Caenorhabditis elegans: one gene and its partner. The protein of the gene in region 1 interacts with the protein of each later gene in a pairwise test. Each region holds a gene or a part of one and is shown in the gene's direction. Other genes may lie near its edges.

The links. Proteins that work in one complex are often made in the same cells at the same time.
Region 2: the proteins of gsp-2 (region 1) and H18N23.2 interact in a two-hybrid assay, tested with the Caenorhabditis elegans proteins (one large-scale study listed by BioGRID).

The regions. Positions count from the first base shown.
Region 1 is NC_003281.10:7,334,665-7,339,838, forward strand, and holds gsp-2 (Serine/threonine-protein phosphatase PP1-beta), read left to right. Parts: upstream 1-1,922; 5' UTR 1,923-1,958; coding exon 1,959-2,010; intron 2,011-2,066; coding exon 2,067-2,198; intron 2,199-2,324; coding exon 2,325-2,555; intron 2,556-2,613; coding exon 2,614-2,828; intron 2,829-2,877; coding exon 2,878-2,991; intron 2,992-3,038; coding exon 3,039-3,173; intron 3,174-3,227; exon of another isoform or gene 3,228-3,338; intron 3,339-3,402; coding exon 3,403-3,525; 3' UTR 3,526-4,101; downstream 4,102-5,174. Other genes in the region: F56C9.10 (BCAS3 WD40 domain-containing protein), read right to left, coding at 334-453; kap-1 (Kinesin-associated protein), read left to right, coding at 4,337-4,406, 4,471-4,543, 4,990-5,174. UniProt on the Caenorhabditis elegans protein: Serine/threonine-protein phosphatase essential for chromosomal dynamics during meiosis and mitosis. During meiosis, promotes chromosomal cohesion and germline immortality via a small RNA-mediated genome silencing pathway.
Region 2 is NC_003284.9:17,623,050-17,630,519, reverse strand, and holds H18N23.2 (Protein phosphatase 1 regulatory subunit), read left to right. Parts: upstream 1-2,273; coding exon 2,274-2,338; intron 2,339-2,544; coding exon 2,545-2,668; intron 2,669-3,884; coding exon 3,885-3,990; intron 3,991-4,912; coding exon 4,913-5,253; intron 5,254-5,748; coding exon 5,749-5,970; intron 5,971-6,018; coding exon 6,019-6,164; intron 6,165-6,601; coding exon 6,602-6,704; downstream 6,705-7,470.

The DNA.
Region 1 (5,174 bases):
ACTATAAAAAATTTATGTAAACTCCACACATCGAAAGTTTGGAATTACAGTACTATTTAAAGGCTCACATTCAACAAAAACTTGTCGTGTCCAGACCCAGTACCGTTTTTTGGCACGAATTTTCGCGTCTGGGTAGTACTATAAGAAAAACATTCGTTAGCGTTCCGAATCTATTAAGATTTTATCTATCTTTGAAAATAATTGCATAGTTTCGATGTTTGCAGCGCTTTAGAAAACGGAAAAATCCGTTAAACGGTTTTTTAAAGGAGATTTTTTGAAATTCGATTTTTTTAACTTTTAGTTTTGAAAAATCATTATGAAGTAACACTTTACCGGCTGTTCCTCTTCTGGTAGCGGTTGTGGCTGTGTTTGTTGATGTTGCTGTTGAGGGCGTTGATGATTCTTCTTGTTCTTCTTTTTCGGGCCCCCAACAGAGTTCGCGTTTGGCGGCATCTTCTTCGAACTGTGCAGATTATCGATTTGTTCAGAAAATGTGGTGAAGAACAGAACACAAACAGGAACAGATAGGATAGAACGAATGAGAAGAGAGGACAACAAAAAAAAGAGAAAAAATAATCAATAGGAAGATGTGAGAAGATAAAACAACAGAGATTTTGTTTTTCTCAAACTTTCAGGTAGATCAACGATCTATGAGTGTCTGATCCGACAAAGGTGCATTGTTACCAGTGACAGAAAAGCGGCAGAAGAATCGAAATCATGCCCTTCTCTTTCTCTCTTTTCACTTCTCACGTGTGCTAGACATGACATGGGGAGAAAACGACAGAAACTGCAGTTGGTCACGAGGGACTAGAGGGAACAGGCGACGCAGAGAAATGGAGGGAGTTGTGAGGAGGATGGAGAAGAAGGCTTCCATGAGCACCACACTTCTCGCATCTTTTTTGCTGATTTTTCTCACTCCAACTATTTTTCTTTTTTCTTATTTCTTATTGAACTTGACTAGACATCAATCGATTTTTTTAAATGCTCACTGCTCATTTTCTAACTAATGCTTCAATATATTTTCTGAACGAATTCATGGATGCAGAAGTACCAAAGTGTTCATATATTTCTAGCTAAATAATATATAACTTTTGAGTACTATAATAATCTCATATTTCAAAATGATTCATAAGTAAAAGTTTTATCAAAATATGCTAAATAAACTTCTTATAACTACGTTTTCATCTATTAAACTTTCACTTAATAAGATTTAATGCATCTTGTTCCCCATGTTTTTGCATCTGATCATAATTGCTGACAAATCGTGAACGAAGAACAGTGTATTTGTTATATTTACACATTTCAATCTCTCACCACCAACCAATTTCTCTGCCATCTTGGTCGAAAACAAAGTGACGAATTGGCGCATCATTCGATTATATGTGCCCCGTTTTTGACAAATAGTGAAAATTTCAGGGAAAAGAGAAACTTTAAGCTTTATCTTCTAAATAATGGTAGAAATATTTTCCTCAATGTAAAATTCAACTTTCAAAGCCCTCTAACCAAGTTAATCCTTTTCGCGCGCTCTTTTTCAATTCAATACTAATGAAGTTCTGAAAATTTGAACGTCCCCTTTTTTTTAATTTTAACAAGAAGAAAAAATGTAGAAAAACAGATTCAAAATCATTAAATTAGCGGATAAATTCAGAAAAAATGAGAACATGTAAAAGCGCTCCACCGGCCACCGTACCCTGCTGAATGCGGCATTTTCGCGGCGAGACCCGCCACTCTTTTCATTCGTTTTGACCCTGTCGCCTCCAAATATCTTTCGATTTTTGACATGTTTGCTGCTGTTTTTATCAACTTTTCGAGTAATCACGCGATTTAAAGACGTAATTATCAAACTTTCTTTCTAAATTTTCCGTATTTTCACGTTTGTTGATTGACATTATCTCAAAGAGGTAATTCTATTCGTATTGCAGATCTAATTGGGTTGTTTGAGCGATTTCTCGCAACAAATGGACGTAGAAAAGCTTAATCTGGACAATATCATCTCCAGATTATTGGAAGGTATGTGTTTGTCATAGTGTTTATTGAAATTAATCTTAAAATGATTTCCGCTTCAGTCAGAGGATCCAAACCAGGGAAAAATGTTCAACTCACAGAGAGCGAGATCAAGGGGTTGTGCCAGAAGTCTCGTGAAATTTTTCTGAGCCAACCTATTCTTCTCGAGTTGGAAGCTCCGTTGAAAATTTGCGGTAAGTTCTATCGAAAAAAGTTGACGTTTCCTGCTATGAGTCATTTTACTTATTAGTATTTCCTTCCACAGGAAATTGCCGTTTTTATTTTTGATAATATATATTCTGAGAAAATATATTTTTCAGGTGACGTGCACGGACAATACTACGATCTTTTGAGACTGTTCGAGTATGGTGGATTCCCCCCAGAGTCGAACTACTTGTTCCTCGGCGATTATGTGGACCGAGGGAAACAATCGTTGGAAACTATCTGTCTCCTACTTGCATATAAAATCAAGTACCCGGAAAATTTCTTCCTGCTCCGAGGAAACCACGAGTGTGCCTCGATCAACAGAATTTATGGCTTCTATGACGAGTGTAAGAGTTTGATCTGAGATTATCTTAGTACAGATTTATTCAAATCTCATGTTTTTAGGCAAGCGGCGATACAACATCAAACTGTGGAAGACGTTCACCGATTGCTTTAACTGCCTGCCAGTTGCCGCCATCATCGACGAAAAGATCTTCTGCTGTCACGGAGGACTTTCTCCAGATCTTCAGTCTATGGAGCAAATTCGTCGTATCATGAGGCCGACAGACGTACCAGATCAAGGATTGTTGTGCGATCTGTTGTGGTCAGATCCTGATAAAGTTCGTTTGTGAACATAAAATTCAATGAATGATTACCATTTATTTTCAGGATGTCACTGGCTGGGGAGAAAACGACCGAGGCGTCTCTTTCACTTTCGGACCAGAAGTTGTTGCCAAATTCCTGCACAAGCACGATTTGGATTTGATTTGCAGAGCTCACCAGGTATTACTTAAGATTTTCTGCAAAGTTGCGAACCGAGAAATTTTCAGGTTGTGGAAGACGGTTACGAATTCTTCGCTAAGCGGCAGTTGGTTACATTGTTCAGCGCTCCTAATTATTGTGGAGAGTTTGATAACGCGGGATCGATGATGACTGTCGATGAAACACTGATGTGCTCTTTCCAGGTAAACATAGCGGTACCATCTATATAATTTTAAATACTGATAATGCGTATGCATTCACCAATGATGCAATGGTTAAATCAGACGAGTCTATTTTGGCTATCTATTCGAGTTCTTCGAAGAAATTGCCGCTAAGCGGGGTGAAATTGAGGCATTTGTCTGAGGTGATTTATTAAACGCTAAAACTACCTATCAAACATTAAAATAAAACAATTCGGAATATTTTTTTCAGATCTTGAAACCAGCAGACAAGAAGAAATATCCATATGGTGCTGGAGGAGTTGGTTCAAATAGACCAGTCACCCCACCACGAAACGCACCGGCTGCGCAACCAAAGAAGGGTGCCAAGAAGTAATCATCAGTCGATTTATCTATCATCTGTAAATACCTAACCTTTTCTTTGTTGTTCACGCCCCAAGAGGCCTCGGCCATCTCTCGTAAATCGGCTTCAAAAAGTTGTGTACATTAATTTTGATTTTAAACATAGTTTCGAAAAAGTTTAAATTCGATTCATTATGATCTAGGCTGGCACGAGAAGATGCTGTGGTCCCGGCGAATCTCCTCTCAATTCAAGCTTTCGTTGTCAACATCCCTTCCTCTTTATCTCTGTGGACCATTTAGAGCTAATGACTCCTCACCAATTGCTGGCTCAATTTTTCATCAAAACAATCCCCATTTTATTCGTTTTTAAATTCCAAATTTTAATTTTTTTTGCTAAACTTATCTCTTAAAACAGTATCAAATTTTACTTCTCTAAATGGTCTAAATATTTAAAACAAATGTTTATGATGTCAATCAATCTCCACTCCTTTCCTTCCTCCATTCATTCGTCCATCCCGTACTCTTCGTTTCTCAATTTTATATTGTTAAAACCCCCATTTGTCGATTTAATTCATTAAAGTTTTCCGAACAAATAAAATAGAACACTGGTACAAGCGTGTAAGCAATATTTCTTATTACAACGAGTGCAACGTCTCCAAGGAGAGCGTGCGAGACGAACAGACATCCCCCACGACTAGTGCTCCTCGAGCCGTCTCATCGATTTCTGTCGTTTGTCAGTTATTCAGAAATGCTCCGCCCCGGCTCTTCAGTAAGCTATAATAGGTAATCAGAATGAAGAGAAATATTTTTTGAGTTTTTTCGATTGATTTTCCGTGTTTAGCTCAATGAATCAAGTTTCAATAGATGCACACCCGTCAGATCAGGCAATTATTGTACGATTTGAACAATCTCCTAGTAAGTTTTATATTTTTATTTTCAATTGAATGTGTTACGAAGATTATTTGGAAGTTTGATTCAGGTTCTTCAGCAGGAATTTCAATAAAAAAGCGAGCTTCTTCAGCGAACGTTGAGTCTCTTGGCCATCAAAAAATGTAAGAATCTGATATAAAATATAAAATTAAACTGGAATGCAAATCTGCTTAACAAGAAAAATAAAATAAAATATTTTTAAGACCGTATGCCCACGAAGGTGCACGTATTCTTTCGGATGGGTCTCACCGCGAAAAATGTTTATGGTAACACTTTAAATTTTTTCTGTTGCAAAAACCACAATCAAGATACAGAAAAGTTATTTAATAATTGCTCACAAAACCCCGAATAACAGAAAACGCACGACCGAAAATAGCAAAAAGTGTTGACTTGAGCATTTTGCTCGCTGTGAGACCCATTCCCCATGAATCCATGCCTCTTTAATTTTTAGAATATTGGAAAATAACTGATAAAAAATAATAATCGAATATATATATATATGAGAACCTCAAAATGTCACCTGCATCTAACATTGTACGGCTACAAAATTACCCAAATTGTATTACAGAATCCACTTGAAAGAAATGAGTCTGGATGTAGATATTCGTGCTTTATCAAATGTTATTCTTCAAAAATGTCTTTTCATTCCTGCCACGTCACGAAGTCAATTGGAGCAGGTTTTGTTCTACATTCAAAAAAGAGGAAATCAACGAATAAGTGCGAGATCAAGAAGTTCTTCGGCCGTTTCATTTG
Region 2 (7,470 bases), on another chromosome or scaffold:
TTTTAAAATAATCACATATTTTTATTTCACTTAAAGGTGGACTACACCCTGTGGGAAAATTGCTTTAAAACACGCCAAAGGGGTCACAATGACCGAATATCTTGATAAAAAAATTTTTAAAAAATTTTCTAGATTTTATATGATTTTTTGAAAATTGAAAAAATCTCAGTTTTCCCCTAATTATATTTGAAATTCCGCCAATTGAATTCGTTCGTTGGAGCGCGCTTGCATTATTTTCGTTAATTATTTTTATTTATTTTCATTATTTCACTGATTTTCTCCATTTTTTGGGGGTTTTTCATTGAAAAATAAAAGACATAAACAAGAAAAATGGAAAATGTTTATTAAAAAGTAACTGAAAATGCCTAAAACTCTAGAAATATGCGATCCGACGACGACGATACTGAAATTGGCATTATTCAGAGTTTTAGGCATTTTCAGTTACTTTTTAATAAACATTTTCCATTTTTCTTGTTTATTTTTTTCATTTTCCGATGAAAAACCCCCAAAAAAAGGAGAAAATCAGTGAAATAATGAAAATAAATAAAAATAATTAATGAAACTAATGCAAGCGCGCTCCAACGAACGAATTCAATTGGCAGAAATTCAAATATAATTAGGGGAAAACTGAGATTTTTTCAATTTTCAAAAAATCATATAAAATCTAGAAATTTTTTTAAAATTTTTTTATCAAGATATTCGGTCATTGTGATCCCATAGGCGTGTTTTAAAGCAATTTTCTCACAGGGTGTAGTCCACCTATAAATTGTGAGTTGTTGCGAAATACAAACTAAATTTTGGTACTATTCTTTTTCTACCCCGAATTTCTTCTGCAACATTTTCTTTAATAAAAACGTGACCTTTTTCTGTAGTTTAGGCTTAGTAATGTTGCTTTCTAAGTCTAAAAATAAATAAAAAAATATTTAAATAAACATTCACGTGAATTAAATTTGAATAATTCAATGCTTCCAATACTCTAAAAATTGCGGGGTAGAAAAGGAAAAGTACCTAAATTTTTTGTTGTCTTTCACCCTATACGAAATCTGTTCAACTTTTCAATTTCCAACTTGAACTTGATGTTTTCTGTCAATCCCAGTCCTCTAGTAATAACTGTTATTCGAAGAAAGTTTCATGCTGATTATATTTTTTTTGATAAGTTTTCTGCGTATGTGACTTTTCTCACAATTTTTTTCGGGTAACGATTGTTGGTCAGTGCACTTGGCAGATCGTTGACTTTTGGAATTTGGCCCAATTCATTGTTTTCCTATTTTAACGAGATTTTGCACTGAGGGCATACATAGACATTGTGTTTGCAAAGCATCAAACTAAAAATATAGTGAAGAAGAACCATATTCCAAATAGTCTGCACTTGCTGAAAATTCCCATTTTTTGATTATTTTTCTGTGGAAAATGTTTTGTTTCTGAAAGTCGTTTTTTTGAAAGTGAATATGATGAGAAAAATTTTCCACGTGGTCCGGGTTCGTTATAAATCTCCATCTTTTTGATTGAGAGGGCGTATCTTGAGGCCTAGCCTTGTATCTCTGATAAATAGGTTATTTTTTTGGTAGCAATTTTTAGTTTCACTCTAAATCGGTAACTTTTTATTCAATAGTTAAGCTTTGGAACTCTGAAGGCATTTTAGATGTGAGGTAGGTTAGGCAATTTATGCAAACGCGTTCTGTTGGAACGCTCATGACGTTAATTGACTTTTTTGCTCATGACGGAAAGTGACGTGTAGTCGAGAAAGAACGTGATACCTTTAAAAAAGTCTCAAAACCAAGTACACATTTCACTTCTCTTGGAACAGTTGCTCCCACTACCCAATATTTTCCAGACTTGTCAGAAAAGTACCGATGAGAAGAATAAAAAACAAGAAAAGAAATCGAGAAGAAAGAAATAAGATAAAGACTTTTCCCTTTTGCTCGCTGCGTGCTCCTACTCCTCTACCAAGTGAGAGAGATATAGAGAGTCGGAGTGAATGTGTGTACGTGAGCATGAGCAGAAAGAAGAAGCAACGACGGAGCCAAGAGCCCAAAGGCCCCCGCAGCCGCCCTGCTCCCCATGTGTCGTCGCGCCAACAGATTGATTCAGAGTCTGTCCATCTTTTTCCCTTTTTTCCTATTTTAACTGCACGTTGCTGCTCCTCTTGATAAGTCCTTCTAGGCCCCCCCCCCCCCCTCCTTTTCTCCCGAGTAGACAAAACTTTTTTACGAGGGTCCCCCATCTCCTCACACTGCGGTCGCCGTATGTAGAAAATGGGCTTCTCACTTTCCATGCTCATCGACAGTTTTGAAGATTTAGACGGTGTGATTCAGGAGATCAAGTTTCGATTGACTAGGTTCGTTTGCAGTGGGCCCCCCTCTCCGACTATTGTTTGTTATTGTGTGAGCGATCTTTAATGCTTTACCTAGTTCTTCTTATTTTCTGTCAACATTATTTTTTTGCTCTTCCAGAAGGTTTTCTGCTTTATACTTTTCTATTTCAAAGCATTGCTGCTCCTAGTAATAGTTGAAGTGACACTGAATCACCTGAAATTATTTCCAGGGCGCCGATGGAAATGGGGCGCGAACGAGAATGCTGCGTCCTCTCCACATCGCCGGGCTGCCGCCGAGCCGCAAGCTTCCCCTTTGTCGGCGACTCCTCAATAATACAGGCATCCAGTTTGAAGGTGTGTTTAATTGCTAAAAGAACTTCTAGAATTGAGTGGTTTTCTCTCGAAAAGTAAACAAATTCAAGCTTATGAACATTGATTTTCTGAAAAAAGCAAGCATGTTAATTGAAAACACTTTTCTCTCTGCCAGAATTGGTTTTTCCATTAAAAAAAGCCAGAAAATGTTGTCCGAGTCCCCCTGGTTCCTTGAATATCGCCGTGCCGAACTAAAATGCACTTTTTAAGCTGGCGACGTGCAAAAACCGAATACGGGCCAGAGTTAGATGGGCGAGAAATGTAAGTGGGGAGCCGTGACGATGTGATGGGTGCGGGGAGAGCGCATCAAAAACATAGATGATCAGAGACGCAGAGTAAAGATGAAGCCTGAGGGCTTCGGGTGAAGAGAAAAAAAACAAGGCACAACACACACTGCGAAAATGTAAGAAATAAGATGAAGAAAAGTTTAGTCTTTTCGCCATTTTTGAAAATCAAAGTTCAAATGATCAAAATTATTGTTTTCGATACGGATTCGTCTAATCTTGAACTTTTGGCCTCTGTGTAAAACGGAAGTTCTTTAAAGATATACTTCTTTCAAGTCTTAGAGCTTTAAATACGCAGTTGTCATTTTCAATTTGAAATTTACTTTGATTCTGGAACGAAGTTTTAATTTGATAACGAATTGGACAAGATTGAACTTCATAGATGTTGTTTTTTCTCACTTTTTTTTTAACTGCCCACTTCAGTTATTTTCCAATTTTGTAAAATGTGGTCCAGAAACAGATGTTTGTGAATTTTCATTTAATTGAAAACGTTTTGATTAAGCAGAGCGAAAAATGTTTATTTTTAACAATAAAAAGTTTTAAAATGATTTTATTCAACAAAGTTCAAAAATTGTGAAAAAATCGCCTTCTTGTTACTTTTTTCTATACTTTCATTCCCCATCCTCCCTGCAATAATCAACAACTCCCAGCATTTTCACTAGTCAAAGTTCAAAAGATCACTATCGACATCACATTTTGCTTTTGAAATTGAACTTTCAACGTGCCCAATGCGAGAATGTTTATCGTGATTGGAGACTGGTTTACGGTAGCTTTTATCGTCAGAGATAGCCATGCACTAGTCTTCATTTAACTTGCCATAAACAATGACTCTCTTTCACCCTTTGATTTTACATTTCCATGCAGCAAAAAAAAACAAAAAAGACAAGAAAATCTATCAATTTTCTTTTTTTCAGGTCCGCTCCAAGAGCGAGTCGGAAGCCTTAAACAAGATGCGATTGACACAGATGAACTTGGAAACGGTTCGCAAACGTCTGTCCGAATCGACAATTAAGGAGAAAGGTATAATTTGATTGTGTAATTGGAACTTTTTGTTAATTTCATGTCGTTCCAAATCACTCTTAATTCGCTATAAATAGATTTTATATTTGTCCTGCAACAGCTATTGTAAGAAGTTTGCCGGAGTGGACTATGATGTAGTCTACAGTACACCCAAATAGATTTTGTCAGGCAGACGAAGAACGCACAGATCAAAATTTGTTACATTGCTTTTGCATTGTATATAGTGTGTACGATAACTCAATTTTGATCCTGATCTTTAAGCTTTGGGTACTAGGCTTAGACGTAGGCTCAGGTTTTGGCTTTAGTTGAGGCTTTAGCTTAGGCTTAGGTTTAGAGTTAGGCTTATGCTAAAGGCTCCCACTAGGCTCCCGCTAACTAGAGCTTAGGCTTAGCCGCATACTTGAAGCCAAACTGCCGAGACTTTGAATCTTCGGGCCTTCTACGATTCTAGGTCTCTAGACATCTAGACATATAAGCTTTTGAGCTTGTAGACTTTCAGCCCAAATCGTTACCCTTGCACGTAACTCTACAAAAGAATAGTATTTATCGACTTGTTTACAGACACATAGTCAATTTTATGGTTTGTGAACGCTCTGTTTGCAACAAAAAGACAAATTGATTTTGATAACAAAATCAACTTGCAAATGTACTTATTGCATTTGCCTACCGTATACCTGACACTGTACGGAACTGAAGAAACTTGCTTCCTAGTTTATCATCTTTTTCTAGACAGTGGGGTATGAAAAAGGTGGAGTCCGGATATTGTTGGCCTTCTTTAGATTCACAGACATACATATTTCTAGTTTCTTAAAATAGGCTCATTGATTATGCGTCAGCCTACGAGTAAGCTTCCATGAGGAATTTAAAAGATTTAAAAGATCCGTTTTATTACTTTTTTTTTGATAATGTTTCATAGTTCCAGATGAAGGAAGCGACTACCAATCGCACAGTTCATCGAGCAGCGAATGCGAGGTCGACGATTTGGAGCTCTTCTGTGCGGGGCCTCTCGAATTGAAAGAGGAAGAGAAGTTGCGCAAATCGGTACGATTTGCCGACGACTGCGGACATGAGCTCTACATGGTCCGCGTGGCGACGGAGCCCAGCAATTGCCCACCGAAGCTGAGTCCTTCTGTGCTCCGTCGCTATCGGGGAGAATCGTTCGAAGAAGAGGAGATGACTACTCGCGAGCCGGCTCCTGTCTGGAATCTGATGTTTAAACAGCCTGCAGCGGATTATGTTCGTTTTCGGGAAAACATGGAAACTGTTAGTTTTATTTTTAATTTTTTGGAATTCGCGTTATGATAGTAAATAGGAATTGTTTTTCAAAGTAGCACTAAAATCGATTTAAAAAATGTAGGGGCACCATAGATAAAATTCAAAAACATTCTGATTTTCTACATTAAAAAATATAGTTGAAGAGAGACAGCTTGCTGTCATGTTCAGAAAAATATTAGTGTGATCAAAGCTCAACGGGAGGTAGCAAAAATTGTCGAAAACTCGTATATCAAAAGTTAGTGAATTCTTTGGCAAACAAGTAAGTTTTTTGAATTTTGTGAATTTGATCACCGTATTTCGAGAATGATCTTACTATTTTAGACAATCATTGATCTTAATGCTGAATACACTGGTGCCAAAACATTTGTTATATCTGAAATGTTAATTTTCTTTGATTTGTATAAACCTTTTGACTCAAAACTTTTTAATAAACCACTTATATATTATTTTTACTTATATTCAAACTTGAATTTTTCCTTACAGAACAAAGTGTCGCTGGAAAATGTGATCTTAAACAATGAAGCATACAAAGTGATGGGAACAATCAAAGTGGGCAATATTGCATTTGAGAAGAGCGTTTTTGTGCGATACACAATGAATGGCTGGATTTCGTATATGGATAAAGCGGCGATATACCAACCATCCACCAGCAAAATTCAGGACACTTTCAAATTCGACCTTGACCTGCCCTCTTCTGTGGAGAAGGTGTGCTCATTTTCTTAAGTATTTTAGTTTCGAAACTTGCAGTTACAGATCCACCAAATTGAGTTTTGCATTTGTTTCAAAGCGAACGGCACCGAATACTGGGACTCTAACTCGGGTACAAACTACGTGTTGCACTGCGAGCAGCAACAGCATCCTGCCGTTCCACAACAACGTCGCGCGTCGTTGTTCGGCAGGTGAGAATTGTATAATTGAAAAATTATTGATTTTCTAAATTTGCATTGAGTTTAAAATTGTTTGTGAGGCCCTGTTAGCAACTTTCATTGCATAAGTAGCTTACCTTTGGTACAAAAGATCATCAATCAAAAGCCTATTAAAAGCCTTTCAGACCGCATATTCTGTAGTTGTATTCCAACCGAATTAACTGGTGCTACTCAAATTACAAAGTGAGCAAAAAGTGTTGTCTGTTTACTTCTCAATTTTAGCTCCTGATATCAGAAGACTGCTTCTATCTTGATCAATTTTTAACGTTTTACTTAAAATTAAAACGTAACAAAAATAAGTATGAAGATTTTGTAAACTGAATTTTTTTTGATAAGCTGAAAGACACCCAAAGTGCAAAAAAGTTGATTTCTATTTCGAAAATAAAAATATATGAACATTGATTTTCCAGTTCAAAATATCTCGACCGAGATGACGCCTACAAGCTCGACTACAACGATTGGGGAAAATTCGCCTCTTGGAAGGCGCTTAGCACCGATGGTCCGTACTGGTAGTTTTGCTCCCCCATATACATATATCAATATTTGCCTTTTTCATCCTCCTTCATTATCCCACATCCCCACCTCCCAACACATATACCCACTTTTGTTTCTACTACTACTACTGGTACGATTTCAAAGTGCCCGGGTATAGGAGATCAGTTCATTTTATTACTCTCTTCTTCTTTTTCTTCTTCGGTTTCTTTCTTGCTATTTCTCTTCTCTATTTCATCATCTCGCTTAGCCAGATTTCTTAAAAATTTGAATTAGAAACCCCCTTCACGACTTAATCTTTTCATTTGATTCATCTTCAAAAATGCGTGTGCCTCCTCGTGTGTGTGCTAATTGCCATATAGAGATTTTCCGCCATCGTAGTAGCTCAAAACGTTTTTTTTTCTCTTAAATAGGGTAGATAGGGAAGCTTACCCTTATGTCTATAAGCCCCCTCATTTGAAAGAGCATTTCGCCTTCCCCAGCTTGCCATTATTGTTTGGTTCACCTCCGCATAGGGTACAAATAATCCGGTATAGACACCTCGCCCTCATCACCACTTCCCGCCACACTTTTTCTCTCTGAGATCGTTGTCTTTGTTACCATGTCCTAATCATTTCAAAGCGCCTATCACAACATCCAAAAGGTGCAAAAACTTCGCCCCTCCTCCTCCCATTATTTGCAATCGGTAAAAGAAAAACGGTCGAAAAAATTACACAAAACAAAAAACACCCGCCCCGCCCCCGCCCAACCCAATGTGATGAATATCAAATATTTGTTCATGTGAATC